Elephas maximus indicus: one gene and its partners. The protein of the gene in region 4 interacts with the protein of the main gene of each other region in a pairwise test. Links are inferred from orthologs where the notes say so. Each region holds a gene or a part of one and is shown on either strand. Other genes may lie near its edges.

Evidence for each region.
Region 1: the proteins of CREB3 (region 4) and ITM2B interact in a two-hybrid assay, tested with the Homo sapiens proteins (2 studies listed by BioGRID and IntAct). The two-hybrid records come from large-scale screens. The link is inferred for Elephas maximus indicus from reciprocal best matches to the Homo sapiens genes CREB3 and ITM2B.
Region 2: the proteins of CREB3 (region 4) and KCNK1 interact in a two-hybrid assay, tested with the Homo sapiens proteins (2 studies listed by BioGRID and IntAct). The two-hybrid records come from large-scale screens. The link is inferred for Elephas maximus indicus from reciprocal best matches to the Homo sapiens genes CREB3 and KCNK1.
Region 3: the proteins of CREB3 (region 4) and PTPN9 interact in a two-hybrid assay, tested with the Homo sapiens proteins (2 studies listed by BioGRID and IntAct). The two-hybrid records come from large-scale screens. The link is inferred for Elephas maximus indicus from reciprocal best matches to the Homo sapiens genes CREB3 and PTPN9.

Annotation. Positions count from the first base shown.
Region 1 is NC_064832.1:30,744,434-30,752,350, forward strand, and holds the start of ITM2B (integral membrane protein 2B), read right to left. Parts: upstream 3,012-7,917; 5' UTR 2,837-3,011; coding exon 2,720-2,836; intron 2,714-2,719; exon of another isoform or gene 2,151-2,713; intron 881-2,150; exon of another isoform or gene 1-880. UniProt on the Homo sapiens protein: Plays a regulatory role in the processing of the amyloid-beta A4 precursor protein (APP) and acts as an inhibitor of the amyloid-beta peptide aggregation and fibrils deposition. Plays a role in the induction of neurite outgrowth.
Region 2 is NC_064842.1:30,858,084-30,865,477, forward strand, and holds the start of KCNK1 (potassium channel subfamily K member 1), read right to left. Parts: upstream 3,014-7,394; 5' UTR 2,933-3,013; coding exon 2,578-2,932; intron 1-2,577. UniProt on the Homo sapiens protein: Ion channel that contributes to passive transmembrane potassium transport and to the regulation of the resting membrane potential in brain astrocytes, but also in kidney and in other tissues.
Region 3 is NC_064831.1:65,482,591-65,490,482, reverse strand, and holds the start of PTPN9 (tyrosine-protein phosphatase non-receptor type 9), read left to right. Parts: upstream 1-4,880; 5' UTR 4,881-5,172; coding exon 5,173-5,235; intron 5,236-7,892. UniProt on the Homo sapiens protein: Protein-tyrosine phosphatase that could participate in the transfer of hydrophobic ligands or in functions of the Golgi apparatus.
Region 4 is NC_064827.1:44,514,262-44,522,068, reverse strand, and holds the start of CREB3 (cyclic AMP-responsive element-binding protein 3), read right to left. Parts: upstream 3,002-7,807; 5' UTR 2,854-3,001; coding exon 2,725-2,853; intron 2,624-2,724; coding exon 2,476-2,623; intron 2,400-2,475; coding exon 2,335-2,399; intron 2,221-2,334; coding exon 2,131-2,220; intron 887-2,130; coding exon 780-886; intron 682-779; coding exon 613-681; intron 1-612. UniProt on the Homo sapiens protein: Endoplasmic reticulum (ER)-bound sequence-specific transcription factor that directly binds DNA and activates transcription. Plays a role in the unfolded protein response (UPR), promoting cell survival versus ER stress-induced apoptotic cell death.

The DNA of each region.
Region 1 (7,917 bases), on a different chromosome or scaffold from region 4:
GCTTGTATCCACTGGAACTGGTGGAGGGAGATGAAAACAGTCAAGTGGAAAATGGCAAGCTAGTTGAGATAATATAATCGATAGAAATGGCTCTTGGGATTAAAAAGCTACTGAAAAGACCACAAGATTGAAAAATAGGGCAATGAAGCCACTTCCGGAGGGTTCTTACCCTGAGAGAGAAAACAGGCTAAAAAAAATAGCTAAAGACAGGAGCAGTGTAAAAGTACCGGAATGCATGTTATATAAGCCAGCTGACTGGAGAGAGCTGAATTCTTGAGGCATAAGGTAGTGGAATCTGTGTGTTTAAACCAGAGTCCCAGACGATACCAGCACAGGTGGCCCTTAAAGGCACAATTGAGGAACACTGGTCTAGGCAGTTGAGATATGGAATGCTGTGGTCTAGAAGAGGATTTGGGTATTTAGAAATTCTTGCTCAGGAGTTGTGGGCTTAACTAATTGACCGTACGTGACCCTCTGAACCAACCAGACGAAGAAAATGCCCCAGGCAGAACACACGAAGGCCGATTCTGCAGAAGCCCAGGCAGTCAGAAGCGGTGTTTCCTGTTTGGTCACCACCAGGGAGCTAGAAATTATTATATAATCACTGCCCAAGCTCAAAGACAAAGATATCAGTTCTTTCACAAACGTCTGTCATTAGGTAAGATCTTCATTCACCTGTTAAGTGAAACTAATTATAAGGATTCTACTTTTAACGTAGAGCAATGTTTTGTCACCCACTGTAGAACAGAAGTCTTTCAGCTTACAGCAAGAAAAAAGAATTAGTCATTTGTATCTGCCAATTCATCCATGACTGCTTGTCTTACAAACGAAGACTGGCCTTCGCTGCTTAGTCCCAGTATTGTTCTTTGGACATGGGGATCTGAGAAAATAGAAACGGAAAACAATGCAGAGAGCTATGAATGCTTATTTTTTTTATAGCTGCTATTACCACAATATTTGAAGATGGTAAACTTGTGAGAAATTCTAAGGATCTGAAAATAACGTCAGTTTCAGAACAGAAATGATTTGAAAATTGTCCTAAGTCAGATTTAAAGCTACCAGATATATTAATTCTGATTTCTGTCCAAAGATTTTCATATCTCCTTCACTAACGCAGAATAGAAAGAAAACGTTCTGGAGTGACATCATCAGAGGCTTTCTCCCCCCGCCCCCCCACCTCTTTTCTGAAGTGGGAGGAGTTGTATTTGTTTACGGGATTTAAAATACAGATTTAAAACTGTTTTGACTGAGCACCTGACTCTCTCGATGTATTTTAGGTACGATAATTGTTACATAAATTTAGAGGTAAGATAATTTCCTAGAAGAACTACTGTCTGTGCTTTCCAAACATTTTCTTTTTAAGACCAAAACTGTTTGCAATGGATGTGGGAAAACCACCCTTTAATCCATTTAGGCAATCAGCTCAAGGTAAAGCAGTCATTAAAAATTAACCTCTAATGTTTGCATCTTTAACTAGATCATTTCCTGAAAATAAATACAGCGGCAGGCAGATTAATATGATATGCTCAAATTTTCTATATAGATGGTCTATTTCTCATTAGACCAAAATATAAATAATAAGGTTTACTACTTATAACTGACACACAAATTATTGGGTTTTTTTTTTTTTTAAGTTAAAACTAAGTTTACCCACGTCTTGAAAAATGCCAACAAAACAATAAACTAAGCAACATAGATAACTTCTACAGTTAACTTCCGCCGGATTGTCTTTTTGCAGCCTGAAGATCTGATAGAAAAAAGCTGTGGAACTTTTTAACTTCTGTGTCAATTACATTTAAAACGCTATTATTGTAAGCCACGAGAAGTAAAACAGTAACGGTTCCATTCTTTTACTTAGGCTAAAGGCGGAAATTTCCTAAAATAAAGGAAGGTATTACAACGGACGTGGGGGCAAATTTCTTAGGTTAAGTTTCACTTAGCTAAAAAGTCCTCAAGGGATACGAACTGAAGCGCCAACTGTTGGTTTTACGCTAACATCCCCATAGTAATTACTGACCTTTTTCAGGAATATTTCTGCTTTAATTACAAAATCAACAGCCAGAACCTACCCTGAGCCCTCACCTTGCTGTCTCCCCTCCCCTCTGTTCCCTTTCCTTTGCCCCCTCCCTAGACCCCAAGGTGAAGTTCACCTGCCAAGAACGACTGGCCGTGGCAAAAGGAGGTAAAGAAGAAAAACGCTTTTTAAATTAAGAGGTTTCAGCTGCTGGACTTAGTCCAAGTTCTGTTCAGCCTAGAAACGAAAGTAGGAAGCAACAGAGGTTTAGGTTTGCGATGATGTCAGCCATTTTAGGCACAATGTTTATTCCGGAGAGGAAGTGCCAAACTCGGTTGTTGTTTTGCATGTCGCTGCTGGTCTACAGGTCGAGCCACGTCCCGGCCCCACGCACCCACCCCTGGCTGCACAAATGACAGCGAACTCGGCACCATTCTTCCAGCCTCCTCTCCCGGCCTCCCAAGCTCCCGGACCCGCGTCAGGCAGGGCTTCCTTCGCACGCACTTCCTTACAAAGAAAGAAGCTGCGGCCGCAGAAGAAAGGGAGCAGCCCGAGAAGAAGGAGCGCTCCGGGACCCTCCTCGGAGCTCCTGCCCCGCGCCCGCGCGCCCTCTGCGCGGCTGCCCCGCGCTGCACTACCCGGCCGGGCCGAGACGCCCAGGTCCCCGCGCCTTCCCGCGCCCAGCCCGGACCCCGGCCCTCGGACCTTGCAGTCCACCGCGACGGCGTCGGGGGGGATGATGAGCGCCTCCTCGCCGTTCTTGGACTCGTCCTTCTTGGCCTCCTTCTGGGCCAGAGCCGAGTTGAACGTCACCTTAACCATGGCGCGGCCTGGAGCGCCCTCGGAGGGCGGCGGCGGGCTGGAGACGCGGGCTGCGGGCTCCCGGCTGCGTGTTCAGCCTCCTCGGCCGGGCTACGGGTGCGGCTCCGCGGCGGCTGAGGAAGAGCAAGCGGCTCGAGAGGCGCCGGAGCGGCGACTGCAGCACAGCTGTTGCAGCCTCCCAGCTCGGGCGCGGGGCGGGGGCGGGGCGAGGGGCGGGGGCGGGCCCGGCGGGGCGGGGCCGGCGCTGCGCCCGACCCTATCCTCGACCCCGGGTGCGGGGGGCGCGGGAAAGGGAAGGTCGTCTCTCTGGGCTGCCTGGATTTTCCAGTTCTGAGTTAGCTTCCGCCCAGTTTACCTCTGGGCCTAGGGTTGCAGGTTAGTAGCAAAACCAGGTGAACTTTCCTGGGTTCGCCGCGTTAAACCGATTAACCTCTGGCAGCACCAGGCCGGCCTTTCTTTGCCCGCTGACCCTGCCATGACCCTAAAGGTCGTGGAGTTTTTGTGCGTCCGCACCTCCAATGTCTCACTTATGGACCCAACTCAGTGAGGCACAGAATTGTTTAAAGCGCCTGCTGCATCCTTGCCATCTGACCTCTTTATCTTCCATGGACCTCACCCAAGGGCGTTACCTGACCCAGTCTTGCCTTTTTTCCCACTCCCTCCGGAGGTCGATGCCTGCCCTGCCTAATCCCAGAGCAGTTCTGAGGAAGTCTTTGCATCTGTTTGGGTTTCAAACATTTCATACTCTCAAAATATTCCACTCGTGCAGGCTTGGACAAAACGTACATGCACGCCAGGCTTTGTGATTCAAGGCAACGTACTTGGTGATGATTCATAATTAGTTTTCTTGAAAATGAAAAAGTCATTTAAGGTTAAGGCAAAAATTATCATTTGAAGAGATTTCATCAACAGCCAATATGAAAGAGGACACTGGCTGGCACTGATAATGGGTTTATGACAGTGTCTTGTCAACTGCTGGTACTTTGGGTAAATGGTTGATCTTGTGCCCTTCTCCCCCCCACCCCCCTCAGGCCTCTAGTTCAACCAGATACGTGGGTGTACTCTAGAATGTTCTAGTATGTGTCAGCTCTGCCTTGGGTCAACCCCGAAGAAAGTAGGTTGAGTCTGAGATCTCAAAGGATTTGGCTGTGCTCAGAACGGGGTTATGGTGTCCCCTAGAATTCAGTTTAAAATGGACTCTTAGACTTTCCATAGAATGCTGTATCACAAATCTCGGGTGAACAGCCCAATATTTCAGAATCTTTCAGATTAAGGAATGACCCCAAATCATATGTTTTTTTCAAGGACCATCCTGGGCTGAGGTAGAAACCCAGTACAGACCTCAACTCAGCATAAAACCAAACCAAAACCAGGTGCAGTAGAGTTGATTCCGACTCAGCAAGTCAGCATAAGCCTTCTGAAATACCGTTCATTTGGGAAGGGGAAGAGTTGGATTCCAGTTCTGCTGAGTTCTCACACAAACTAGTCATGTGACTTGAAACAACTTATTTAAACTCCTCAGGCACCCCTTTTGTCCAAGGAGAAGCCCTCAGTGGGGTTGACTATGAATTGACATTTGATAATACAAATGGCATCTAATTGTTCCAGACCACCTAATTTCAGAGGTTTCAAGAGACAACTGAAGACTGAGGAATTGTGGAAACAAGAGCTTATACATATATGTATAAATGGTTGTGTATATATATGGAAACCCTAGTGGCTAGTGGTTAAGTGCTACAGCTGCTAACCAAGAGGTCGGCAGTTCGAATCCACCAGGCACTCCTTGGAAACTCTATGGGGCAGTTCTACTCTGTCCTATAGGGTCGGTATGAGTTGGAATCCACTCGACAGCAGTGGGTTGGTGGGATTTTATATATATATATATGTATCGTTCCTGTTCCTGTTTCTGTTTTGATGAAATGGTGTAAAAATACTTAAGACATTTTGCACTAGCTAGAATTAGGGTTTTTTTTTTTTTTTTTTTTTTTAGAATTAGGGAAGGGGCCCTGGTAGCACAGTGGTTAAAGTGCATAAAGATTTACAGTCTTGGAAATCCTATGAGGCAGTACTACTCTGTCCTATTGGGTCGCTATGGGTTGGAATTCAACTCCATGGTAATGGGTTTAGAATTAGGGAAGAAAAGAAAAAAAAACCTTTCTGAACACCACTGTTAAACAGATTAGGAAACTGAGGCAAAGGAAGCACCAATGAATTTATGACAGAAGCAGAAATAAGTCACCTCTCACCCCCTGGCCCCTGCCCAGGGTTTCTGTTTTAACAAGTTCACAGTAAAAGAGTATTCTCAATTTTGTGGACTAGCAGCGAGCTGGTAAACAGTTATCTCCTGGTTTTGTTTCGCCATTTTATCTGTTATGTCTACAGGACTATGTAGTGCACAACAACAGGGATAATGAAGAACCTGGATCAAGACCAAACATAGCAAACCCAGTCTCATGATTTAGAAAAGCTTGCCCGTTGACCCTGGAAACTAAGGGGTGGGGGAGGAGGAGAGTCATGATTCAACAAAAGAAAGTTAAAAACATAGTCGCAAATTACCATTAAGGAGCCCGGGTGTCACAGTGGTTAAAGCGTTCAGCTGCCAACCAAAGGATGACAGTTTGAACCCACCAGCTGTCCTGCAGGAGAAGGATGTGGCAGTTGGCTTCTGCAAAGATTCAGAGCCTAGAAAACCCTATGGGCCAGTTCTGCTCTGTCCTATAGGGTCAACATGAGTCAGAATGGTCTAGATGGCAACAGATTTGGTTTGCTTTAAGTTACCGTTAATTGCTGAATGTAAAGGAAATGTTAGAAGGCTTTTGTTTTCCTTTTCCAAGTTGATTTGGAGAGAGCAAGAAAAATTTGTTTTTAATGATCCTAGAACTACCTTTCACCTGATTTCCATATTTGTTTTTCTACTTAGGAGTCGGAATCGACTCAATGGCACTGGGTTTGGTTTGGTTTTGGTACTTAGCCAGAATAGAGGATGAGATGGAGTCAGGGAACTAAATTCAAGAATCTTAGTTCATTCGGGTTTGTGTCATGTGCCTGGACAGGGTTTTTTGTTTTGTTTGTTTTCTTTTCTAGGTTCTTTACATCTCTATAATTTCTGCTCTTTCTTAAGGAAGCAGTTTTTTCTTCAGCTTAAGGTTTAGCAGGGCGACTGGAAAATATTTTTGTGAACATGGAGTTCTTGGTGAAACAGCATCACTGAATATGCTCTTTGAAATGTTCCTCTCTGGACCCGATGTGTGGCTTGAGCTGGGCATCTTGTGGCTTTGTCTCAATTTTCATAGAAGAGATGTTTCTTCTAGGTGCCACATAAAGCCTCTCTTCAGATTTAAGCGAGCATTATTTTTTTTCTCTTCTTCATAGCCTTAAAAAAAAAATCTGCTGCTGGCTGGTAATTTCGAACTGCCAGCCTTTTGGTTAGCAGCCGAGCTCTTAACCACTGCACCACTGAGGCTCCTCTTCATAGCCTTAACCAAACCAAATAATCAAACCCATTGCCCTCAAGTCAGTTCTGACTCATAGTGACCCTATAGGACAGAGTAGAACTGCCCCATAGGATTTCTAAGGAATGCCTGATGGATTTGAACTGCCAACCTTTTGGTTAGCAGCCAAGCTCTCAATCACTGCGCCACCAGGGCTCCTCTTCATAGCCTTAACCAAACCAAAAAATCAAACCTGTTGCCTTTGGGTCAGTTCTGACTCATAGCAACCCTATAGGACAGAGTAGAATTGCCCCATAGGGTTTCTAAGGAGCGCCTGGTGGATTCGAACTGTGGACCTTTTGCTTAAGCACTACGCCACCACGATTTCCTTCATAGCCTTAGGGATCCTTTATTTTTTCTTAAATTTCTTACCTCCCAAGTTTATATCACCATCTTTGTACCTCATTACCACCTGTTTTTTAAAATCATTTTGTTTTATTCCATGTTATTTTCCTTAGTGAACTGGTTAGATGAATTTTTTTCCCCCCTCAGAATCTTGGGCTATAATACACCAAAACCTTCTGGGAGGTGTTCTAAAAATGAATGCAGATCTCTTTGATTGATGTAGCATGTGGGAATTTTGTTTGTTTGTATTGTGAAAAGACCAGATGTGCTCGGCATTAGATAATTTAGTCTTCTTGTTGCCGTCTCCTGGTTTTCCTCCTCCAAAGTTTGGCTTTCTAAGCGTGTCCATGTTTAGGCTAGGTTTCTTTGTATTTAAAAGAGGGAGGGAAAAGATGAGAAAACAAAACAGAAATGACACAAAGCCCAAGTTGTCCAATAGGCAGAGCCCACCCAGAAGACCCAGGCCTAGTTTCACTTAAATCTCACCATGCCTTATAATTTCACCACTGACTGTCCGTCGTATAATATTGGAGTCTAAGAAGGACCAGGAATGGCCTGGTGAGTTTTTGTACAGGAGACATACAGGATTTTAGTTGGAGAAATCAAAAGGATTTGGATGAAGAGGATGAACAGCCAAGGTGAAGGGAACAGCAAAAAGAGGAGCACCAAAACCTGGACAGAGAAGCCTGAAAAAGGGAAAAGCAGCCTCCGTCAGGTGGAGGGTACATGCTGAGTGTTGTTGTGCGCCTTCAAGTTGATTCCGACCCTTAGTAACTGACCCTATAAGACAGAGTAGAACTGCCGCATAGGGTTCCCTCAAGTGAAATCTTTACAGGACCAGACTCCCACATCTTTCTCCCATGAAACTGATGGTGGGTTTGAACCACTGACCTCTCAGTTAGCAACCAAGCACTTAACCATTGCACCACCAAGGTTCCTTGTACACCAAGTAAAGGAGGGAAATACAGCCGGATAGGAAGGATGTAGCCATAAATCTCCTTGGGGTGTTAGAATAAGTGGTCCCCTTCAGGTTAAAGGGGACTGCCAAAATTTCCTACAAATAAAATAGCTCAAAAAAAAAAAGGCTCACTGAACTGTACATGTGAAGATTGTTGAAATGGCAAGTGTTTTGCTACCTATATGTTTACCACAATAAAAATAAATAAATACGTAAATAAAAGGCTGCACTGTACAGACGGAGAAGTCCCTGGGTGGTGCAAATGGTTAACGTTCTTGGCTGCTGCC
Region 2 (7,394 bases), on a different chromosome or scaffold from region 4:
GCAATCTGAATACCAATAATAAGACATCTACTCCCCGCCCCTTTCTACAGGAACTGCGTTTTTTCCTAATTAAAAGGGAGAGGAATCTCAGAAACGTTTGTCTATTGGAGGTGTAAGCTGACGACATTTAAATAGGTATGTATGATGTCCAGCTTGCAAATGAGCCTCATCAAGTGATGTGAAATCCCACCAGGAAAAGCAAATGGGTTTCGGAAAAACAGAAACTGCTTCTTCCTTAAAAGGGTAACTCACCTCTTAGTCCTGAAACTGTTCTTTTCCTCATAACACTGTCCTTATTACTGTTCTATCTCACAACTAGATCAATAAGCAACATCATGATACATGGAGAAAAGATCGAAGTTGCCAGCGATTTCATTCTCCTTGGATCCACAATCTACGCCCATGGAAGCAGCAGTCAAGAAATCAAAGGACACACTGCATTGGGTAAATCTGTTGCAAAAGACCTCTTTAAAGTGTTAAACAGCAAAGATGTCACTTTGAGGACTGAGGTGCTCCTGACTCAAGCCATGGTGTTTTCAATCGCCTCACAAGCATGTGAAAGCTAGACAATGACTAAGAAAGATAGAAGAAGAATTGACACCTTTGAGTTGTGGTGCTCGTGAAGAATATTGAATATACATACCATGGACTACCAAAAGAATGAACAAATCTGTTTTGGAAGAAGTATAGCCAGAATGCTCCTTAGAAGCGAGAACGATGAAACGTCATCTCACATACTTTGTATGCTTCATCAGGAGGGATCAGTCCCTGGAGAAGGACACCATGCTTGGTAAAGTGGAGAGTCATGGAAAAAGAAGACGATCCACAATGAGATGGACTGACACAGTGGCTGCAACAATGGGCTCAAGCATAACAACCATCATGAGGATGGCACAGGACCGGGCAGTGTTTCGTTCTGTTGTACATAGGGTCACTATGAGTCGACGACACAACAATCTTCAAAATACCATTACCAGGAAAGTACTAAAAGTAGTGATTCTTCAAAGTGTTTACCCAACGTTGTGACTCACTTGTAGACCTGTGGCCGAGTGGAAACACACACTTCTACAGAGAATGGATGAATCTAAATCTAGCACAAACATACCCAGAAGGAAAGGCATGCACACTTGTAAGGGATCTGAGAACCGAGCCAGGTAAACACAATGGAAGCAGCCGTAGTGAAAATAAAAAATAAAGTGTGGTGCTGGCAGAGAAGCAGGCGTTCTTGGCAAAGCGAGATAACAGGTTTGTGTTGTTTAGCGCTACATTTAACACAGTTTTTAAAATTTCACAACACAAGCTGGAATCCTACTTCTGGCTATTTCAGGGTAAACTTACATTAGTTTAGTCATTCACCCCAGACTTTTGAATAGATTGAATAGATTGTTTTACATCTTCTCCATGGATAGTGGAAGGAGTTAGTCACTACCAAGTAATTACCAAACCACTGAGTTTAGGAGGATGATAATACAAACTCTGAGAAGTGAAGAGGGGGTGGGGTTGGCGGTAGGGGTGGGGGTCAAGGAAATGTTGGCTGTTGATTCACTTGTAAAGATTTGGTGGGGTGAGGTAGGGTGGGGGGAAGACAAAATGCTCCTGGCAGGGTAATCACAAGGCCCCGATTCCAGAACTTAACTGCAAAGTGTGTGCCATTGTGCACGCCAGGGTGGGCTGTTCCAGGATTCGAACTCATAGATCGGGGGAAGGGCTCTGTACCGGACGCTCTTTAAGAGTCTTTACAGCGTCCAAATAAAGAATTATATCTTCACCCAGGTGTATGTGCCTCACCAGCCACGGCTGGGAAAATTCAGTCTCCACTCATTTAATCTGGGGCACATCCCGGACCTCATCCTCCACCTGGGGCGCTCTTCCACTGAGCGCGTGAGCAGTGCCGGGCCTGGGCGCTTGGAAGTTTAAGGGTAACCCCGCTCCCCCAAAGTTGAAAGAACTGCTGCATCAGGGGTGCCCCGTCTTGCCAGATCATAGGCAAACGGACGCTCACGTTCCTCTTTTTCACCTCTCCTCTCACCCTGAAAAGAAACCTTATCTGCCTGTGCGCTCAGCAGTCACCTGCGAAGAGCAGAGTGGCGTCGCTCGGCTACCACCAAAACCTCCCCGAAGGCCCAACACAGCGGAAAAAATATCCGAAACATTAAAAGCGAGGGCACCCTGCGGAAGGTGACCTGTTACCGCAGTAGTATTAGATTCTGCAGCCCCGGCCTCCGAGATGATAGGGTCAGAAGGATGGTGAGGCGCTCGGAGCACTAGACGGGAAGTTGCCATCCTCTCACTACCACGCTCGAGGGTGGCCAGGATGCTTCTGAGTCACCCTGGCGGTTCGGCGCAGGTCGTCTCGAAAAAAAAAAAAAAAATGAAGCCCCTGCAACCACCCAGGCGGAGAGGTTGGAACCACTTCCCAAGAATTGCGGGCGGCAACACCGAAGTCACATTAAGAAGCCACCTCGCCTGCTTCCGGCTCCACGGACCCATCCTCCCCCAAGTCACCGCAGCTGGGCGGCCCGGGGAGTGGTCGGGGACCGCCGCAGGGCCGGCTAGAGTGCCGCGGCGGCCTCCTACCTGTGGTGGAGAGGACGGTGCTGGCGAAGAAGAGCGCGGAGGTGAAGTCCCAGTTCCAGTTGCCGGAGGTGTTGCTGAGCACCGACACGCCGTAGCTGCTGGCCTCCAGGACCCGTGTCAAGAACTGATCCAGCTGCTCCACCGTCAGGCAGTCGTGCTCCTCCAGGAAGCGCCGCTTCGCCTTGTTCAGGTCCTGGCGCAGCAGGTCCTCGTTGGGCAGCTCCACCGACGAGAAGACCACTGCGCCGAACACCAAGTAGAGCACGTAACCGACCACCAGGAAGCCGAAGAACCAGGCCGAGCGGTGCCGCTCCACCAGGCGCACGCAGGACTTGCTGGCCAGCGACTGCAGCATCTTCCTCCCCCACGCGCCGGCGCCACAGCCGCCCGGGCCGAGAGCGCCCGGCGCCGCGCCCTGGTCGGCGCAGCCCGGCCCGCCCCGCGCGCCCGCCGGCACCACCTGCCCAGGCCCGCGCACAGCGCCCCGCCTCTGGTCCCGGCCGGCGGGGGCGGCCCCCGGCGGCACCGATCGCTGCTCGCCCTCGCCGCTCCCGCTCCCGCTCCCGCCGCCCCCTTTGTGCAGCGGCGAGTTCCCAGCGATTGGCTCGCTGCGGCGGGTTTTTTTCTTCCTTCTTTTCCTGCTTCCTTGCAATATAAAAAGCCCAGATGATGTGGCGCTGACGTCGTTAGCCAGCTCAGGTAACCCGAGAGCCGCCTGAGTCCGGGTGGTAAACTTGGCCAGGTTGTTGGTGCGGGTGGCTGGAGAGACACGGAGATGACGTCTGCCCTGCTGGCAGCCCTGGCCTGGCCTGCTGGCCTGGCCGCCCTGGGAGTGGCTCGGGGGCACCCAGACCCCCCCCGGGGCCTCTGCGGGCTGTGCGCCTTCTCCTCCCCCGGTGGGAAAACCGAAGAAGGGGGCTCAGACCCAGAACTGACAGAGCTCAGTGTGTGTGTGGAGGGAGGGGGCGACTTCTGGGAAAGGTTCCAGCTTGTCCAAAGCCCCCTGTCCGAGCCTCCACCTATTTCCCATGTGTTCCCTCCTAGTCAGAGCCACTCTTAAAAAATAGGGAGCGTTGAAATACGGCCCTTCACCCACCTTATCCAGAGCCATTATGATGGTGACAGCTTCAGAATCTAGAACCGAAAGCCACCTTCGATCATAAAGGTCTCCACCCCAACGCCCACCCAAACCCCTTGCCTAAGAAGAAACAAGCGTGAAGGGAAGTTTTAGAAAGGTCCCACTTCTGAGCTTTAGTTCATTAAAATAGGACCTTGGGTTTTACGGTGAAGAATATTCCAACGTGCCAACTGCCAGGAGCAATTGAGCTTTTCTCAGTGTGTGTGTGTATTTCTTAGCTGCCTTGGAGTCGTATCCAATGCATAGCAACTCTGTATGAACAACAGAGGGAAACACTGCCTACACCCTTGGTCCTGCCCAGTCCTGGCCCTCCTCACACTCATTGCTATATTTCATCCCATTGTTGGAGCTGCTGTGTCAATCCATCTCATTGAGGGTCTTCTTTTTCACTGACCCTCTACTTTACCAAGAATAATGTCTTTCTCCAGGGACTGGTCCCTCCTGATTAACATATGCAAAGTACGTAAGACAAAGACTTGCCATCCTCACTTCTAAGGAGTATTCTGGCTGTACTTCTTCCAAAACAGATCTGTTCATTCTTCTGGTATATTCAGTGTTCTTCACCAACACCATAATTCAAATGCATCAATTCTTCTTTGGTCTTCCTTATTCATTGTCCAGGTCTTGCATGCGTATGAGGCAATTGAAAATACCCTGGCTTGGGTCAGACACACCTTAGTCCTCAAAGTGACATCTTGGCTTTTGAACACTTTAAAGAGGTCTTTTGCAGCAGATTTGCCCAGTGCAATGCATCTTTTGATTTCTTGACTGCTGCTTCCATGGGCATTGATTGTGGATCCAAGTAAAATGAAATCCTTGACAGCTTCAGTATCTTCTGTTTGTCATGATGTTGCTTATTTATCCAGCACGAGGACTTTTGTTTTCTTTTGTTGAGGCATAATCCATACTGAAGGCTTTGATCTTCATCAGTCCTCTTCACGTTCAGTAAGCAAGGTTGTGTCATCTGTATATTGAAAGTTGTTCATGAGTCTTGCTCTCATCCTGATGCCTCGTTCTTCTTCATATAGTCCAGCTTCTCAGATTTTTTTCTCAGCATACAGATTGAATAAGTATGGTGAAAGAATACAACCCTGATGCACACCTCTCCTGTTTTAAACCACAAAGTATTTCTATATTCTGTTGGAACAACTGCTTCTTGGTCTGTGTACAGGTTCCAAATGAGCACAATTAAGTGTTCTGGAATTCCTACTCTTCACAATGTTACCCATAATTTATTATGATTCACCAAGTTGAGTGCCCTTGGGTAGTCAATAAAACACAGGTAAACATCCTTCTGGTATAATCTGCTTTCAGCCAAGATTCATCTGACATTAGCAATGATATTCCTCATTTCATATCCTTTTCTGAATCCAGCGTGAATTTCTGGCAGTTCCCTGTCAATGTACTGCTGCAGCCATTTTTTAAGTATCTTCAGCAAATTTTACTTGCATGTGATACTAATGACATTGGTCGATAATTTCTGCATTCTGTTGAATAACTGGTCTTTGTGTTTTTAAGGTGATACAAATGTTCACAAGGGTCAGTGAACTGCCATATTGTGGGTGAAAAAAAATTGTGTATCATTTCTGGAAAGGCAGTTTGGTAATATGATTCAAGAACCTTGAAAGAGTTTTTGTGCTTTGACTCAGTGATGAGTCTTAAGGAAAAAAAAAAAAAAAAAAAAACCAGAGAGACAAAGATTTATATATAAGGCTGTCCATAAAAGTTGTATACATAATAATGAATCAGGAACAACCTAAATGTTCCAAAATAAGGAAAATATTCAATAAATTAAGCTATCTCTACGGCATGGATGCCATACCAAAAAAAACCAAACCCATTGCCACAGAGTCAATTCCACCTTATAGTGACCCTATAGGACAGAGTAGAACTGCCCCATAGAGTTTCCAAGGAGCACATTTTGGTTAGCAGTTGTAGCTCTTAACCGCTACGCCAACAGGGCTGCTATTAAAAATGGGTTTGAATCACTATTACTAAAGGTATTTCAAACCATAGAAAAGGATGGAATACTACCTAACTCATTCTATGAAGCCAGCATATCCCTGATACCAAAACCAGGTAAAGACACCACAAAAAAAGAAAATTATAGACCTATATCCCTCATGAACATAGATGCAAAAATCCTCAAAAAAATTATAGCCAATAGAATTCAACAACATATCAAAAAAATAATTCACCATGACCAAGTGGGATTTATACCAGGTATGCAAGGTTGGTTCAATATTAGAAAAACCATTAATATAATCTACCATATAAATAAAGCAAAAGACAAAAACCGCATGATCTTATCAATTGGTGCAGAAAAGGCATTTGACAAAGTTCAACACCCATTCATGATAAAAGCTCTCAGCAAAATAGGAACAGAAGGAAAATTCCTTAACATAATAAAGGGCATTTATACACAGCCAACAGCCAATATCATTCTAAATGGAGAAAGCCTGAAAGCATTTCTCTTGAGAATGGGAACCAGACAAGGATGCCCTTTATCGCCACTCTTATTCAACATTGTGCTGGAGGTCCTAGCCAGAGCAATTAGGCTGGACAAAGAAATAAAGGGTATCTGGATTGGCAAGGAAGAAGTAAAATTATCTCTATTTGCAGATGACATGATCTTATACACAGAAAACCCTAAGGAATCCTCCAGAAAACTACTGAAACTAATAGAAGAGTTTGGCAGAGTCTCAGGTTACAAGATAAACATACAAAAATCACTTGGATTCCTCTACATCAACAAAAAGAACCTCGAAGAGGAAATTGCCAAATCAATACCATTCACAGTAGCCCCCAAGAAGATAAAATACTTAGGAATAAACCTTAGCAAAGATGTAAAAGACCTATACAAAGAAAACTGCAAAGTACTAGTGCAAGAAACTAAAAGGGACTTACATAAGTGGAAAAACATACCTTGCTCATGGATAGGAAGACTTAACATAGTAAAAATGTCTTCTACCAAAAGCCATCTATATATACAATGCACTTCCGATCCAAATTCCAATGACATTTTTTAATGTGATGGAGAAACAAATCAACTTCATATGGAAGGGAAAGAAGCCCCGGATAAGTAAAGCATTACCGAAAAAGAAGAAGAAAGTGGGAGGCCTCACTCTACCTGATTTTAGAACATATTTTACAGCCACAGTAGTCAAAACAGCCTGGTACTGGTACAACAACAGGCACATAGACCAATGGAACAGCGTTGAGAACCCAGATATAAATGCATCCACATATGAGCAGCTGATATTTGACAAAGCCCAATGTCAGTTAACTGGGGAAAAGATAGTCTTTTTAACAAATGGTGCTGGCATAACTGGATATCCATCTGCAAAAACATGAAACAGGACCCATACCTCACACCTTGCACAAAAACTAACTCCAAATGGATCAAAGACCGAAACATAAAGACTAAAATGATAAAGATCATGGAAGAAAAAATAGGGACAGCGTTAGGAGCCATAATACAAGGCATAAACAGAATACAAAACATTACTAAAAATGACGAAGAGAAACCAGATAACTGGGAGCTCCTAAAAATCAAACACCTATGCTCATCTAAAGACTTCACCAAAAGAGTAAAAAGACCACCTACAGACTGGGAAAAGGTTTTCAGCTATGACATCTCCGACCAGTGCCTGATCTCTAAAATCTATATGATTCTGTT
Region 3 (7,892 bases), on a different chromosome or scaffold from region 4:
GGCTGAGAAGATGTCCTGATTGAAGAACTGTATCCTCGGTCATTTTTGATCCTGAATTGTAACCTATTACTTCCCTGATAAACCCCATAATCATGAGTGTTGTCTGTGAGTTCTGTAGGGCCATTGCAATGAATTATTGAGCCCAACAGAGAAGTAGAGAATACAGTGGGAGGGTTGGTTTGTGTCAGAATTGGTAAAAAAGTTGGAGAGAGGAGGTATGTCTGACCTCAGCTTCATAGGAATCTGCCTCAGGCTGGTGGTGATTCTCTCCCACCCTACTGAAGTTAGAGAAGGTCAGACGCAGCCTCCATGCCATTTTTACTCACAAGGAAGCAAATAAGTATAATTCAGAGTGTTAGGTACATTCTAGACACAGCTACCAGGTACAGAAGTTATGTACAACAGTGAGCGATATTAACCTGTGATCTGAGAGTGGTGGATAGGGGTGTCAGATGAGAAAATTGTTTTTGTGTGAGCAAAGAACCAGATTACATATTTAAAAAATAAATTGAAGCAGAGACTAGTAATAAGAATGTTCCCTAGAATATTGGATAATGGGGGAATTATAATCTCTGTGGGGTTAAGATTTTCCACCTTCCCTGCAGAGTTCACCTTCAGCCATCCTAGTGATGATAGATTTGGCCTATGAGTAAACAAAAAAATTTCTCACCCTAGACGGTGATTAGCAGTATGACCTTATTTGCTGTTTCTCTTTTAGAAAAATGGCAGTAAGAATTTCTGTTTTGGGCGGGGGGAATCTTTTATAGCCAATGCATGTCTACAGTACAACACACATCTGTTTCACAGGCAGTATATATTTTGTAGCAACGCCTGAGAGAAGCTTTGGGTTTTAGAAGTGACAGTGTTTTGGAGGAAAGGTTATAAAATCACCACAGTCACAGTGTGGAAGTATCTTTATTCTTCCACACTTTATTCTTAGTGCTGAACAAATACAAAAAAGGCAGCGAGAGGAGGTCTCATGGTAAGATAGAGGCCTATGCGTTAAGTGGCTGTCTTCATTGATTCAACACATTTTTTAAGTGCCTGCCTCTTATGTGCTAGGCTCTAAACACTGAGGTACAGGGGCCAACACAACTATGTGGTCCTTGCCTTCCTAGAGCTTACAGTCTCGTAAGGCAGACAGACACTAAGCTGGTGGACGTAGAAACAAGTACACAGTTATAAATTCTGATCCTCTTATAAAAACAAGAGGGTGCTGCAAGCGAGAGTAACAGGGGGCCTAATTCAGCTTGGTGAGTAGTCAAGGAAGATCTTGCTGAGGAAGTGACTTTTGAGCTGAGACCTTAAGGATGAGTCAGACTTTTCTAGTGAAAGAGGTGGGGGGAAGGGGAGGATAAACTTTCTAGACAGAGACCTGAAACCTGTGCTTTAAAAGCAAAAAAAAGAAACAAAGAAAATGCAAAAACAAAAGTACAACTCATGATACCTCTCCACCCTGGGGTTCCGTCTTTGTAGTTTATTTTCCACTTTCGGATTGTGGCCCTTACTGTTCACGTTCATTTAATAAAGATGTATTGTCTGCAGCTAAGCATTCAAAAATGCAAGGAGGCCCTGTCAGTGCGTGTGGAACTACCTAATTTATTTTTGGTAAAATTAGGATCATGATTTCACCTATATCAAACTGTTATGGTGAGATGAAAGGGTTGAAAGTCATTTAGAAGAGCGTTTGGCAGATGGTAAAGACACATTCAGTGTCAACTTATTTCAGTGTACACACGTGCTCTAACTTACTGAGGCTTCCTATTGATGGAGCATTATGTTGTTGTTTCCACTACAAACTAAAAAAAACGGTTGGGGTTACTACAAACTGCTTCAGGCTCTAAGATTCCACTGAGTAGGATGACAGTACCATGCTGGATTTCATTGGCTCCAGACTGCAGTTAAGGGCAAGCCAGGGGGCTTCCTTTGTTCTCTGGTTCTCCTAAAATTTGTCTCTCAGAGTGGATCCAGCCAGCCAGTTTTGCCTTGGACTTAGTTTTGTTACCCATGTCTTTGCTCAGAAACTTCCAAGCATTGTCCTGTTAGGGCTGTGATAGGCAACAGTTCCGGAAAATTGTTCCCTTACACACCCACACGCCCACACACAGCTGTGCCTCTGAAAACACTTGAGTTCTCTCTCCTGGCTTACTCAATAAACCTCTCCCTTTATTAGTTCTCCTTACTGATCCTTGGGCTAAGAGAATGCCTGGGTTCAAGTTCTAGCTCAATACTAATTAATTAGCTGTGTGCTTTTGGATAAGTCACTCTCCCTTGGTGTCCTGAGGATCGATCATTGGGCAAAAATATGTAAAAGTGTCAGTTATACTTTGAGACATTCCCTATCCTTTCCTGTACCCCACTCAGTGGTTTGCACTACTCAGGTTCTGCCATTTCTTACTCCAGCTTAGTTCTAGAGCCATTTGCTTGCCTACTTAAGGAGAAAAACTGTATTTCCTTAAGTTAAAATTAAAAAAAAAAAAAAAATTTTTTTTTTTTAAAGATTATTCATCCACATTCAAAGTCTTAAAATTTTGTATTTAAAATACACACACGTCAAACTATTCTATGCTTTTAGAAACCAAGATGGTGGTTACCTTTGAGGAGGGTTGGGGGGATGAGGAGGACTTTGGCAAATTGAAAACATTCTATTTCTTGATCTGGGTGCTGATTACAGGGGTGTGTTCAGTTCATGAAAATTTATCAAGGTATATATTTATTATATTTGCACTTTTTGGTAGGTATGTTATGCTTCAATAAAAAGTAAAAAAAAAAAAATTGTACAAAAGACTATAGAGGGATGAGTCTCCTTCTCACTTATGTTTCCCAGACAACCAGTTCCCCCTTGGGAGGCAACCACTATTTGTGTTGTATCCTTCCAAAGCTCTTCTATGTATAAATAAGTTTATAAATATTCATTTTTTTCTTTATACACATGACAGCATATTATGCACACTGTTCCAAATCTTGCTTTTTTTCACTGGTGATATATAGGTCAGGGGTCATTCCATACCCTTACATGTATATGGAAGAGAACATGGTCATCTTCATTGTTGCAACCCCAGTGCATAACCCAATGCTTAGCATATAAGTATACTTTATTCAATAAACTGGCTTCTAAATGAGAGTCTGTTTGCAATACTGAAACTGTAACTCCTGCAGGTGGTGATGAACTCAACCAGAGTCAGCTTTATTGATTAAAAAAAAGGATAAAATACCGGATCCAAGCACCAGGGGTTTCTTTTCTCACTGATTCGCAGTTCACCCAGGGCAACCTGAAGGCCTTCTGCATAATTGCAGAAATGAAGGGAAGTCAGGGGTTGCTTTTAAAGTACTGTACTAGAATGAGCATCAGAACTAAGAGCACCCTCAGTTGTCTGAAGATCCCTCCCCTTTGGGTCTCTCTCATTGGGCTCCAGAGACCCAAGACCTGAGATAGCAGTGCTGGGTGGTTTCAAGCCTTGGGACCAACTGCGGCACTCGCTTGTTCATTGGACTGCTTTTGGAATATTTATCTTTGGCCTGAAATGATGCAAAAACATCCCAGACTCAGCCCTGTCTTCCCTGTGTCTCCCCAACTGATCCCAAAACTGTGTATCTTGAACCCAGTAAAACCCCCAACCTCTTTGCTGCGCTTGCCTGAGTGCAAATCAAAGGCTTTCAAAGGCTTCGTGATTCCTGAATGAGGTTCACAATCGGATGTTGTTTTTGCGAAGGACTAAAATTAGCTAAACTGCTGATGGATTACAGGATACAGCTGGCAAGGAGAGAGAGCGAGATGGAGCCGCGATTAGCTGCCTCTCCTTTCCACCTGAGCATCCTAGACCTCGCAGGCAACCTTTCCAGGAGCTTTTAGTCAGCAAGTGGCATGGAAACAGACGAGCATTGTGTCCCCTCAACATATAGGTGGTTGCCGCAAATCAAACCTAGCCGATTTGCCCTTCAGACAGTTTTCAAACTCTTCTTCCTACAAGGAGCTTAGTTTAACCTCTTAGGAAAACCACACTCTTTTCTTCCCTTTTCTCCCTCCTGCAGCCCGGAGTCTCCTTCTGTACAGCTCCGCAGCCACCCCTCCTCCGTCTCCCCCACCCCGCGGGCTCCTCTCTCCTCCCCTGTACCGCCCTCTGGGGGCCCCTCTCCGTCTCCCCCTCCTCTCTCCTCCCCTGTACCCCCCCCGAAGGCCCCTCTCCGTCTCCCCTTCCTCTCCCCTCCCCTGTATCCCCCCCCAGGGCCCCTCTCCGTCTCCCCCTCCTCTCTCCTCCCCTGTACCCCCCCCGAGGGCCCCTCTCCGTCTCCCCCTCCTCTCCCCTCCCCTGTATCCCCCCCGAGGGCCCCTCTCCGTCTCCCCCTCCTCTCTCCTCCCCTGTACCCCCTCCGGGGGCCCCTCTCTGTCTCCTCTTCCTCTTCCCCCCGCCCGCTCCGCCCCCCAGGGCCCCTCTCCGTCTCCCCCTCCTCTCCCCTCCCCTGTGCCCCCCGCCCCGCGGGCCCCTCTCTGTCTCCCCCTCCCGGACGACGTCCTCGCTCTGCCGGGCCCTCCTCGCCGCCTGTTTGTGAATGAGACGCTCAGTTTCTCAATGGAGCCGCGGAGGGCTTGGGCGGCCGCAGCTTTGGCCCTGAGCCGGCAGGGGGGCGCCTTCTCCTCGTTCCCTCCCTCCTTCCCTCCCTCTCCCCGCCGCCGCTTTTGAGGAACGAGGCGGAGAGGCGGCCGCGCAGGTCGCCGGGGCCCGCAGCCCGAGCACGGCCCGAGCGGCGGCCTGGAGGCTCCGTCACGTCTGCGGGCGCCGGAGAACCGAGAAGGCCGGTGGCTTTCGGGAAGTTTCCACGCCGTCCTTTGGCTCCGGCCTTGAAAACTTCTTTATTTAATAGCTCCGTTTCTAATCCCGGTTGGCTGTTAGCTCCTCGCCTGCATTTTTTTTTTTTTTCCGGGAGAGGAGGGAGAGTGTGAGGGAAAGAGAGAAGAAAATAAAAAAGGATTTCCGCCCAGAAGGGAGCCGCAGTTCGGAGAGGGTTTTGTGCGCAGACGGGAGCGGGTCTGCGGCCGCCGCGGGCGCCGGGCCCCGCCGGCCGGACCATGCGCGAGCCGGCCTCGGGCTGCTGAGCGCGGGACGCGGAAGCGGAGGCCACAGTCCGGGCTCCCCGGCTCCCGGGCGACTGTGTCCGCGGGGCGGCGGCGGGATGGAGCCCGCGACCGCGCCCCGGCCCGACATGGCGCCGGAGCTGACCCCGGAGGAGGAGCAGGTAAGCGGGGCCGCGGCGGCTGCGGTGGGTGTGTCGGGCCCCCGAGGCCTAGGCCAGCTTCTGCCTCCTCCCCAGGCCGCGCTCCCGGGCCGCGCCCCGCGCCCAGGCCCCGCGCCCAGGCCCCGCAGCGTCCCCGCTCCAGCGCCCCGCACCCCGCGCCCAGGCCCCTAAGCGTCCCCGTTCCAGCGCTCCGCGCCCCGCACCCCGCGCCCAGGCCCCGCAGCGTCCCCGCTTCAGCGCCCCGCGCCCCGCAGCGTCCCCGCTCCAGCGCCCCGCACCCCGCGCCCAGGCCCCGCAGCGTCCCCGTTCCAGCGCCCCGCGCCCCGAGCCCAGGCCCCGCAGCGTCCCCGCTCCAGCGCCCCACGCCCCGCAGCGTCCCCGTTCCAGCGCCCCGCACCCCGCGCCCAGGCCCCGCAGCGTCCCCGCTCCAGCGCCGGGCAGCTGGGCGGCCTCTCCCCCTCCCCCGCCCGGCGGCCGCGCCCAGGGTCGTCGTCCCCCGAGACGGGGGGGCGCCGCTGGACCCTGCCCCTTGCCTCTTTTATCCCCGAGGCTTATAGGTCTTATTTTGCCCCTCACTGTGCCGGGTTTAATTAAAGTTCCTCGAATTGGGGGGTCTCTTTTTCCCTCCCCTCCACCTCCGCGTTTGCAGAACACACACTTGCCCCGGCGGCCCTTTCAAAGCCCATAAATGTATTGCTGCTTTCTGTGAGGGGTTGTGGTTTTTTAAGGGCAGGAAAAGCCCCAGATTTGGGCGAGTGTGATAGGCACTGGGTGCATAGATGCCCTGGGTTTTCACAGGAGCCCCGCAAGCTTCTCAAAGGGCTGTGGCAGGGTTGTCTTGGAATATGCAGACCAGGCCTTCTCATGCTGCCGAAGTCCCTGGCCTTGGCGTCCCTACTCACCCATCCCAGTCTGAGCGCATCCCCTCGCCCTCACTCCCTACCCCAATCTCTTCTGACTGCCTCCATCTTTCTGAAGCCTCCATTGAGTTCCATTGTCCCTTAAAGCTTATGATCTTCAATCCCCAGTAGGAAGTGGTTTGCGGTATCAGTTTGGGGCTTGGGGAAGGGAGAAGGCAGAGGCCATTATGACTTTCCCTCCCCCACATTCCAGCTCTGGAGACACAGATCACTCCATCTGAGGAAGACAGGAAAGTCGGCTGGGTCAGATTGGGAACCTTGAAGGCTTTTCGCTGTATCTTCCTTGGTACTGCCCATACCCAGCCTTAGCTATGCTCAGATATAGCTATAGTCTGATTCCGTTTTTTTTTTAAGACCTGAAAAAAGAAAAAGGTGAACATTTAAAGCTGTCCAGCCCTTGTTTCCAAGGACCACATTTTTTACCATAATCTCTAGCGTGGAGACAATTTAGGTTTACAAAATAATATTGGCTCATAGGCTTAAAACCTGATTAAAAAAAAAAAATCCCTTGACTTTTCTCCTCATTTGTGGAGATGACATTTTTCATGTTGGCCTCAGATCACAGTCTTGTCTTTTGATGCCTTGAGATAAAATCAGCATGGGAAAAAAAAATAGAATTCTGCTGCGTACAAGAAGTGGTAACATCCTGGTAACTGCAGTTGAGTGTTAATGAAACACTAAAAAGAGGGCCTAATGCAAGCAGATGGCCTTGGAGCCCATCCTGTCAGAATTAGTGCAATACCTCAGTACTAAGGTGAGATGTGTTATGTTGATTTTAAAGGAGGAAATCTCTTTCATCTCTTTTTCCTTGGGTTAGTCAGATTTGAAGTTTCTATGTTTCTAGACTTAAAGGCAGCAGTATGCCTACTATGAAAGCGCCATTAGGTTGCAAATTAAAAAATGAAACCAGGGAAAGTGAATATTGAAGCATCGGTAATGGTAATAATTTTATTCTGTATATAGTTTGTATACATACAGGTGTGTTATTTTTTTTTTTTTTTACATTAGAATGAACGCAATGGACAGTAAAGAGGACCGGATAGAAATAGTAAAATGTTTATATGTTAAGGTCAAGAGATTATATGTTATTTTTTCAATCATACCTTTTGTTTTCTACAAAATGCTAAGTTTCCTATATACATCTCAAAATGTTGAAACACTGAAACACGAACATGAAAGCAGAATAGTTATGGTAATGCCTGATGTTCTCATCTTTTAGTTTAATATCACATAAGGAAGAGTACTCTTAACGGTTAAGGTTTCTTTAAAATATTTAACAGGAGCAAATGCATGTTAACCTCATTGAAGTAGCTGTAATGGGAAATGACACACTCATTCCATAATGTTGTCCCATTGCTCAAACCAGTTTTGGAACTCATTTGTAATCGATTTCAAAACTGTGGCAGAATCTTTGAAGTATCTTCTATGTTGGAAAATCCTTGTACTTTTAAAAATCAATTTGATTTCGGGAAGTAGCAAAAAAAACAAATCTGTTGGAGCCCCATTTCATAGGTAAGATAGGGGATCAAACTGGGTTAACACAGTTTCAGGCAAAGTGAAATGCAGTTAAGTCCTCTTTGGGCTTTAAAGACTTTTCTGGGGCAGATTTCCTCCTGAATGATACCTCCTTCCATCCAGTTATGCAAGTCAGAAACCTTTAGCTCTTATTCAAGAAGCCAGAGTCAAATTGCAGATCACAAACCTGATTGCATCTTCCCCTAAACCTGAGCATTCATA
Region 4 (7,807 bases):
AGAGAAGAGAGAGTGAGCACACCCTGGCCTGGTAACTGAGATACAATGAAACTCTCCTGTTAAGGCCACCCCCTCCATCTGTGCCCTGGATCATCTCTTACTTTGTTTTTGCCAGTGACCACTTTTCTGCAGATAAAATGCTTAAAGCTCCCCATTAAAAACAAACAACAAAAAAAATAATCTCTCCACCCTGACAAATTCCTTTGGCAAATACCTTCAGTAGTTCTGCCTGATCAATGATGCCCATAGTCCTCACCAGGCATTCCATAACCTCTACCTTCTGGTCCCAACTCACCTGTGTCAGAGTTCCAGCCAAACCAGATGGTGGTGTGTTCACTCTGCTTGAAATGTTTACTTCACCCCTAGAATCCTATCTACTATCAAATGCCATCTACCCACTGAAGTGTTTCTTCCTCCTTCCTTTCTCTTTCTTGGTTATAGTTATTTGTGAATTCTGCCAGTACTTTGAGCTTCCTGGACCCACATTGAAGGCTAAGTACCAGATTGCATATAGGAGCTGCCCAGTTAGAAGTCAAGTGTGGAACAGGGGAAAGAGTGGGGCAGCATTAAATGGGGGTGATGGGAAAGGACTAATGTTGGAGGGTTGCTTACAGATTCTCTTCCTCCAAGAGCTGCACCTTGTTCTGTAACTCCAGATTCTGGGCTGTGTATTTCAAGATCCTGGGGGGAATAACAGGGATATGACCTCTGTCTTCCCTTTAAAATCATTTCCAACTACCTCTGTTCCCCCCACCCTTGAGCCCTTCTTCCTTTCATACCTGCTCTCTAAACCTCCCACATACACCTTCTTCTTCCTACGACTCTCTTGAGCAGACTTTTTGTTTCGAATCTTCCTCCGTACTCGTTTGAGGGCTTGTTCCTCCTTCTGGAAGAAGATGGGGGAAGGGGCATCATCAGAGGAACACTGGACCGAAGAGTTGGAAGGCAAATGAGTTCAATCACCTGACCAGTATGCACTCGGCTTCTGTGCAGAACGCCGCTGGGAGCCAGGTGTTAACATCTCTGTTAATAAGCCCGGACCACTTTTAACAATTTTATATTTTTTTTAAATCTCCCAAGCCCACATCTGCCTCCTTATAATTTCTATCCATTGGACTGACCTAGTATCTAATCTTTGAAGCCGTGTTGAACAAACCTTCCTTAGTTATTTTAAGACATTTGACATTTCTTCAGAGTTTAAAAAAAAAAAAACCTGGACAAAAATTTTATCTCATTTTATCTACTCTCCTCAGGATGGATTCCATCCTGTTAATATCTGTTAAATATCTGGGTTCAAAACTCAATACTAAGATGTGCCCTGGCAAATACAAAAGAGAACAGGATAGTCACTCCACTTCTGAAGGCAACACCTCTACTGATGCAGCCTCCAAGTCCCATTCACTCAGTAGCCGTATCTTCCTGCTGACCTGCTGACTCACTGCACTTGCAAGAAATTTATATTTAAATTCCCTTAACCATTCTGTCAGTGAACATTGATTTCATCACAGTTGCACAATACCGGGCCTATGAAGTCACTCAATAAATATAAACGCAGGAATTTATATTTATTTTTGTTATACTGTTACTCCAACCTTACTGAATGATCTAAAGCTTAATTCTATAATTCAGCCAGAAGTGGATTACTACGAAGTCAATGAAATCTAAGTGTCAGAGACCCTCACTTGCACAAGGCTCTATAGTAATATTGTGCTGATAATTATGATTTTTTTTTCTTAATGAGAATACTGAAATTGTATGTTTCAGACCCCACAAAACCAGCATTTTGCATCCATCATATTACCTATATGCCCCAGCTTCCCATTACCAACAAATTTGCTAAATTTCCCACCTCTGTCCTTTTTTGGGAAACTCTGGTGGTGTAGTGATTAAGTGCTATGGCTGCTAACCAAAAGGTCAGCGGTTCGAATCCACCAGGCACTCCTTGGAAATTCTATGGGGTAGTTCTACTCTGTCTTATAGGATAGCTATGAGTCAGATTGACTCGACAACAGTGGGTTTGCTTTCTTGGTTGGTCCTTTTTCAAGTTACTGATAGAAAATTAACAAGATTAGCTTACTCGAGACTCATAAAACCTCCCTCCAGCTTTTGCTCTGCCAATGGGAGACTTACCTTAGTAAGAGGAAGTGTCCCAGGCAGCGAAAGCCCCTCCTTCTCCAATAGCCTCTTCTCCTCCTCTGTCAGTATCAGTTCCTCAATCTCCTGGGGTTATTGAGGGTGGGAGGGAGAAGCAGAGTTGCAAGGGGTTGTCAGAGGAATGGGGAATCCTGCCCCCATTTGCGCAATGTAGGAATAATCCTCCTGTTAGTCAAGTACCTGCTCTGCAGGCTCCTTCACCTGCAGGGGAGTCATCTGGGCCACCTTCCCACAGCTCCCACTGTCTGCAAAAGAAAAAGTATGAATAGCCAGACCCATGAGCACTTTCCTCCCCATAAACCTCAAATATTTCAGACTCACCTGTATCTACGGAGACATGTTCCTGTGGGAGAGAGTAGTTGTGATCATGACTGACAGGACAGGGATTGAAGGAGCTGAGAGCCTTCAACGATGCTGGGGGACTTAGCAGGGAACTCAGGAAATCCTCCACATCCCAATCACTCAGTACCTGCACATGGTTCAATAAACAGGCTTTGACCTATCACCACCATCCCATGCCTCATGGACGCCCCCAGCCCCGTGCCTCACCTACTCAGAACTTCCACTCACCTCGGAGAGCGGCAGCTCCCAGTCCAGCGGAGCCTCCAGGGCCTCCTCCGGCGCCACCCCCAAATCTCCGCTTTCCTCTAGCAGAAAACCCAGCAGGTCTTGGTCGTTGGGACCCAGTGCCAGCTCCATACTACAGACAAGAATGGACAGAAACCCGGGGATTCACCCCGCCACCCAGCTCCAACCCCCGAATTTCAGGCACGAACCACAGCCCAGTTGTTTGTTGGTCTCGGGTCCCTCTTCGCCGCACTTTGCCTTTAGCTGTCACTCTCACGCGGACCCGCCTCCCAGATCCAGTCTCTGCCGCTTCCAACACAACGGAAGTAATACATCTCGCCACCATGGCACTCTGGGACATGGAGTTCCCTCCAACTCGGAAGTGGCCTGGGTGCTGCGCCACGTCCCAGGAGCTATGCAAATAGTGGGGACGTCCCGTCAGCCTCCGCACACCCTGAGGGCGGGAATTCGGGTGATCCGGCTCCGCCTTCGCCTCGAGCGAAAAAAGGAAGGATTCCAGACTAAAAGGGAACTCGAGCACAGTTCGGGCGTTTCCTCTGGATTGTGCGCGCCCTTGCTTCCTGCCGGGGAGGGGCTGCCAGTCTTCGGCCGGCTGTCGAGCATCGAGAGCTGGGGCCAGAGCAGCTTCCTGCAGTCCCGGCAACCATAGAGCGCGGGCCCAGGGCGCCGCCCGCGGGTGGGGGACGTTCCGGGGACGGAAGTGGCCGAGAGAGAGCCTGTCGGCGGGAGGGCGAGGCCAGAGCCCCAGAGCGACCGGGAGAACGACCGGGCTAGCGGGCCGGCGGGCGGGGCACAGAGCCGGGCAGCTCAGGTAGGCCGGACCGGGCCGAGCTAGAGCCCCGGGGTGGGGCCGCAAGGCCCGGCCCGGGAGGCGGGCGGGCGGGGCCGCTGGCAGTCCTGCGTCTGTTTCGGGTCCTTTTGGAGAGGTCAGGGTCCAATATATCTCGGCTTGGTCTCGGAGCTCAGTAGGCCGTTTTGCGGGAGCCAGGCTTTTCCTAGGCGCAGTCCTTTGCCTGCGGTGGGCTTTAGGGAAGGTGAGGAGTGACCACAGTGAGGCGCAGGGCGGTAATAGGTTTTGAGGTTAGCTGATAGTGGATATGTGAGTAGGAACGCTTTGCTAAGTTTGGGATTAGATGAGATTGGGTGGTGGATTTAACGTTAGCTTTAAGAGTTATAAAGCCAGGGTCGAAACTTCGAGTTATTAGTGTAAATTCAGCCTATTTTATATGTAAAGTTTAGATTGAGGCCATTATTTTGTTTTCTGGGATGGACAGCCTAAATCAAAGTTAGAGTTCAGGGTCGGGTTAAAGGTCAACAACAGGAATTAGGTTAGACGCCCATTTTAGGGATTACAGAAGTTGGCAAGGTCAATATTAGGGATACATAATGATGGGGTGGGTTAGGAATAAAAATACAAGTGAATATTAGTTTTAAGACTCAGCATTTAGAGTTAAGGTCAGGGAGTTTGATGTTAACGGTAAAGTCAGGTCAGCATTTAGGATCAGGCATTGAATATGGTTCTCTGCTAGGAAAGAGACGACTGTCAAAGCCAGTATTGGCAATCAGGAAACTGGTTAGGGTCAGAGTTAATGTTAGGAATTAGGGGGCAGCTTTAGGGGTTATGATTGAGGTCAGGGTAGTTGATCTCAGGTAGATGAAATTTAAGAAGCTGTCACTAGGTAGATGCTCTTGCTTTGGGGGAAAGTCTTATTCCTAGGTAGTCACGGGGACTTCTTTAACCCAGAATGATGACAATCTGGGCTGGAAGTGCAGGCAACTAGGAATCCAGCTTCTCTATTCTACTCTCTAAATCCAAGTTTCTTTCTGTGGCCAGCACAAATGGAGGATTGGGGTTTCCTGGACTGTGTTGTTTACAAGGTGAGAGATAAGAAAGGGACAGGGGCCCAGGAGATGCACAATGTCTAGTCATAAGTGGAGAACTACCGAGGGGAGAAGAGACTGATGACTAAGGGGGAAGCAGACCAAGGAAATGCTCTTGTCATGGGAGAAGAGGGTGGCCGAATCTACCGAAAGTTAACTCCTACTGCTCCCTCATTCCCTAGATATTAAGCCCTCCTCTCCAGCTCTCATCCCTGGCGCTGCATTCCACACCCTTCCTGCATACCCCCTTACAAAGTACTTCCCTTGCCTTTAACTCTCCATATTCTTCATCTGCTTACCACCTATTCCCAACCTCAGTTCTGCCAGGCCTTCCCTACTTGATTCACACATCCTACCTTAATTTACCCTTATCCAAACCTGAGCTTTCCCATCATGTTAAAACACCCTTCTACCTTTTTCACCCACTCATCCATCTGCATACCATCTGCTCATCTGAGCAGCCTCCCCAACCCAACACAACTGCCACATACCCCCAGTCCCTGTGCCATCTTCCAATTCTAAGCCTCCTTTAATTTCTTGGTCCAATTGAAGATCCCCTTCCCCCACTCCCCAAACAGAAAAGAGGAAACGAGACCCAAAGAGGAAACTGGGTCTTGCTGATCCCACGCCCAGCCAGGCCACTGACCACACCCCCATTTCGCTCCCAGCCTGACCCAGCCACTGACCACAGCCCTAGCCCCTACCCAGCCTGACCCAGCCATTGGCTGCATCCCATCCCGCCCCCAGCTCCAGCTTTACTTAGCCATTGCCAATGTCCTCTCACCGTACCCACACCCCACCTAATTTAGCCACTGACGACAGCCCCATCTCTTTTCAATCCCCTGTAGCCTGACCTGGCCTCTGACCTCACTCCATCTTTTCCCTGAGTCTGACTTAGCCACTGCCCATATATTCATTCCTCTACTTCCCCTGTGCTGATCCAGTGACTTATCATATATTCATCTTTCCTGCCACCATCATTCCACCATCTCTAGCCTGATGTAGTCACTGACCACGCCCCACCTGCTCCTACCTGGCTACTAACCACATACCTGTCCCCTTTTCCTGGCAGCCTCATCCTCACATTCCCAGCTCAACCTGATTCCTCTCCCCTTTACCTAAACTCAAGCTGTCCCAGAAACTAAGTGGCTACTGATGACAGGAAGCTATGGGACCCCCACCTGACTTTAGGCCCTGGTCTCTGAGGGTTGACAGGACAGACTTGTCAAGTCCTGTCAGTTCTACTTCTTAACCTTTTTTCTAAGTGACATCTTCCTCTCCACCTTCTAACTCTGGCTTCCATATCTCTCACTTGTGCTAATATGGTATTTTTCTAACCAATCTCCAAGATAACTGTCAGAGTTATATTCTAAAATCCAGTTCTGGTCATGTTCCTTCTCTGCTCAAAAGCCTCCCTTGGCCACTTGCTGCCCTCTAGTAGGTAAAATACCTCATACTCCTCTCTAGTCCTCCCTTGCCTTTCTATCCGAACCCTAACTTCCCCACCACTGCTCCCTTGCAGGTACCCTGTGCTTCAACCAGCCTGCCTACTCACTTCCCTGAATGCTCCTCTGCGATTTCCTGCTTCTCCACCTTTGCTTATGCTATTCTCTGCCTGGAATGCTACCCTTGACTCATCTCCGGCTGGCGTAGTGGAGAGAGCTTGGGCCTTGGAGTCAGAGAAACCTGAGTTCGGATCCTGGCTCTACAACTTGTTAGCTGTGTGACTTTGGACAAGTACATTTGAACATATACTTCTTTGAGTCTCAGGTTCCTAGTCTGTAAAAATGGAGATAAGGGCACCTACCTTGCAGGGTTGTTGTAAGGATTAAACAAAATTATGTATGCAAAGCAGTTGATACCTTGTCAATAAATGATAGATCATTATTTCTTTTTTATTATCCTTGTTTTTAAAAATCGAACTTCAAATGGCACGTCTTTCAGGGAGACTTTTGGTTCCACTTCCCTCGCCTATTGGGATATCTTCTCTGCATACACGCCTCCAGGCTCTTAGCTCATCCTGCTCTCTATTAAATTCTGTGCTTAGCTGATCCGCTTTTCTCCCCTTGAGGGCAAAGGCTACGTCTTACTCAGCTTAGTTCCCAGCCACTGGATAGTGTGACCCAGGGCCTTCTCCATAACAGCCCTCAAGGAATGCTTCCTGGGTGAATGGAGAGAGAATGTATACTGAATGGAAGGAGAGATGTTGGGGTAGGGGGCTGTGTGCTGGAGATGAAGATGTATTTGTGGGCAGCTGCATGTATGGATGGGCCTACACGGGAAGATAAAGAGGCTGTAGCGGGATATGTATAGAGCTGTGAGATTGAGATAACATGTTTGTAAGGAGATACTAAGTAGGTAGCTTATTGGGAAGGAGCTCTGTGCATAGGCTGGGGTGCATTTGGGGAGGATGAGTGTGTGTGGGATAGGGGTGTAAGTGGGGAGGGGCTGTGTCGGGGGAGGTTAGGTCCAGCCCTTCAGCTGCCCAGTCCAGCCCTAAGTGAGGCTCCAGCAGCCTGAGGCCGGATATGTCAGTCTCACCCACAACTCCCCCCGCCCCGCCCGCGGTTACGGGCTCAGAGGCCAAATTTGGTAACAGACTGAGTGTTACTCCCCCAACCCTCCTACGCTCTGCTTGTCTTCAGCTTTCTCTCTCTCTCTCTGTCCCTCTCTGTAACTCCCTGTCTTCCTGCAGCCCCCTTTGTGACCATCTGCTTTGACTGTGTTTTCCACGTACCCCAAGTTCCTTCCCACCAGTACACTTAAATTCCATTCCTTGCTGGGATTTGACCTCCTGTACTCCATCACCACCCACCCCTACCCCCACCATTGCCCAACTCCTCTGGAATGCATTTCAGGAATGTCTTGAGGGAGGAGGAGTTCCCTGGGAGGGGGACACAAGATCGGGGGGCGGGGGGGGGCTGATGTTGCTGTTCCATAAAAAAATGATGGAAAGGGGAGCACAGTTGTCAGACCAGAGAATGAACAGGCTAGTTTCTCCCCACACTTCCAGGCATCCTGTTCCATGCCACTCCCACCCCCAGTGCACTGTTCAGTTCCTTCTCTTCCCCTTGCCCTTTGGAGCAATGTGGAGGCCCACTTAGGACTGGCCTGTGAGTGAGGGTAGGCATGACTCAGTCTCTTATCGGGGTCCCACCAGAGGTTTCCATGCTTGAGGAAGAAG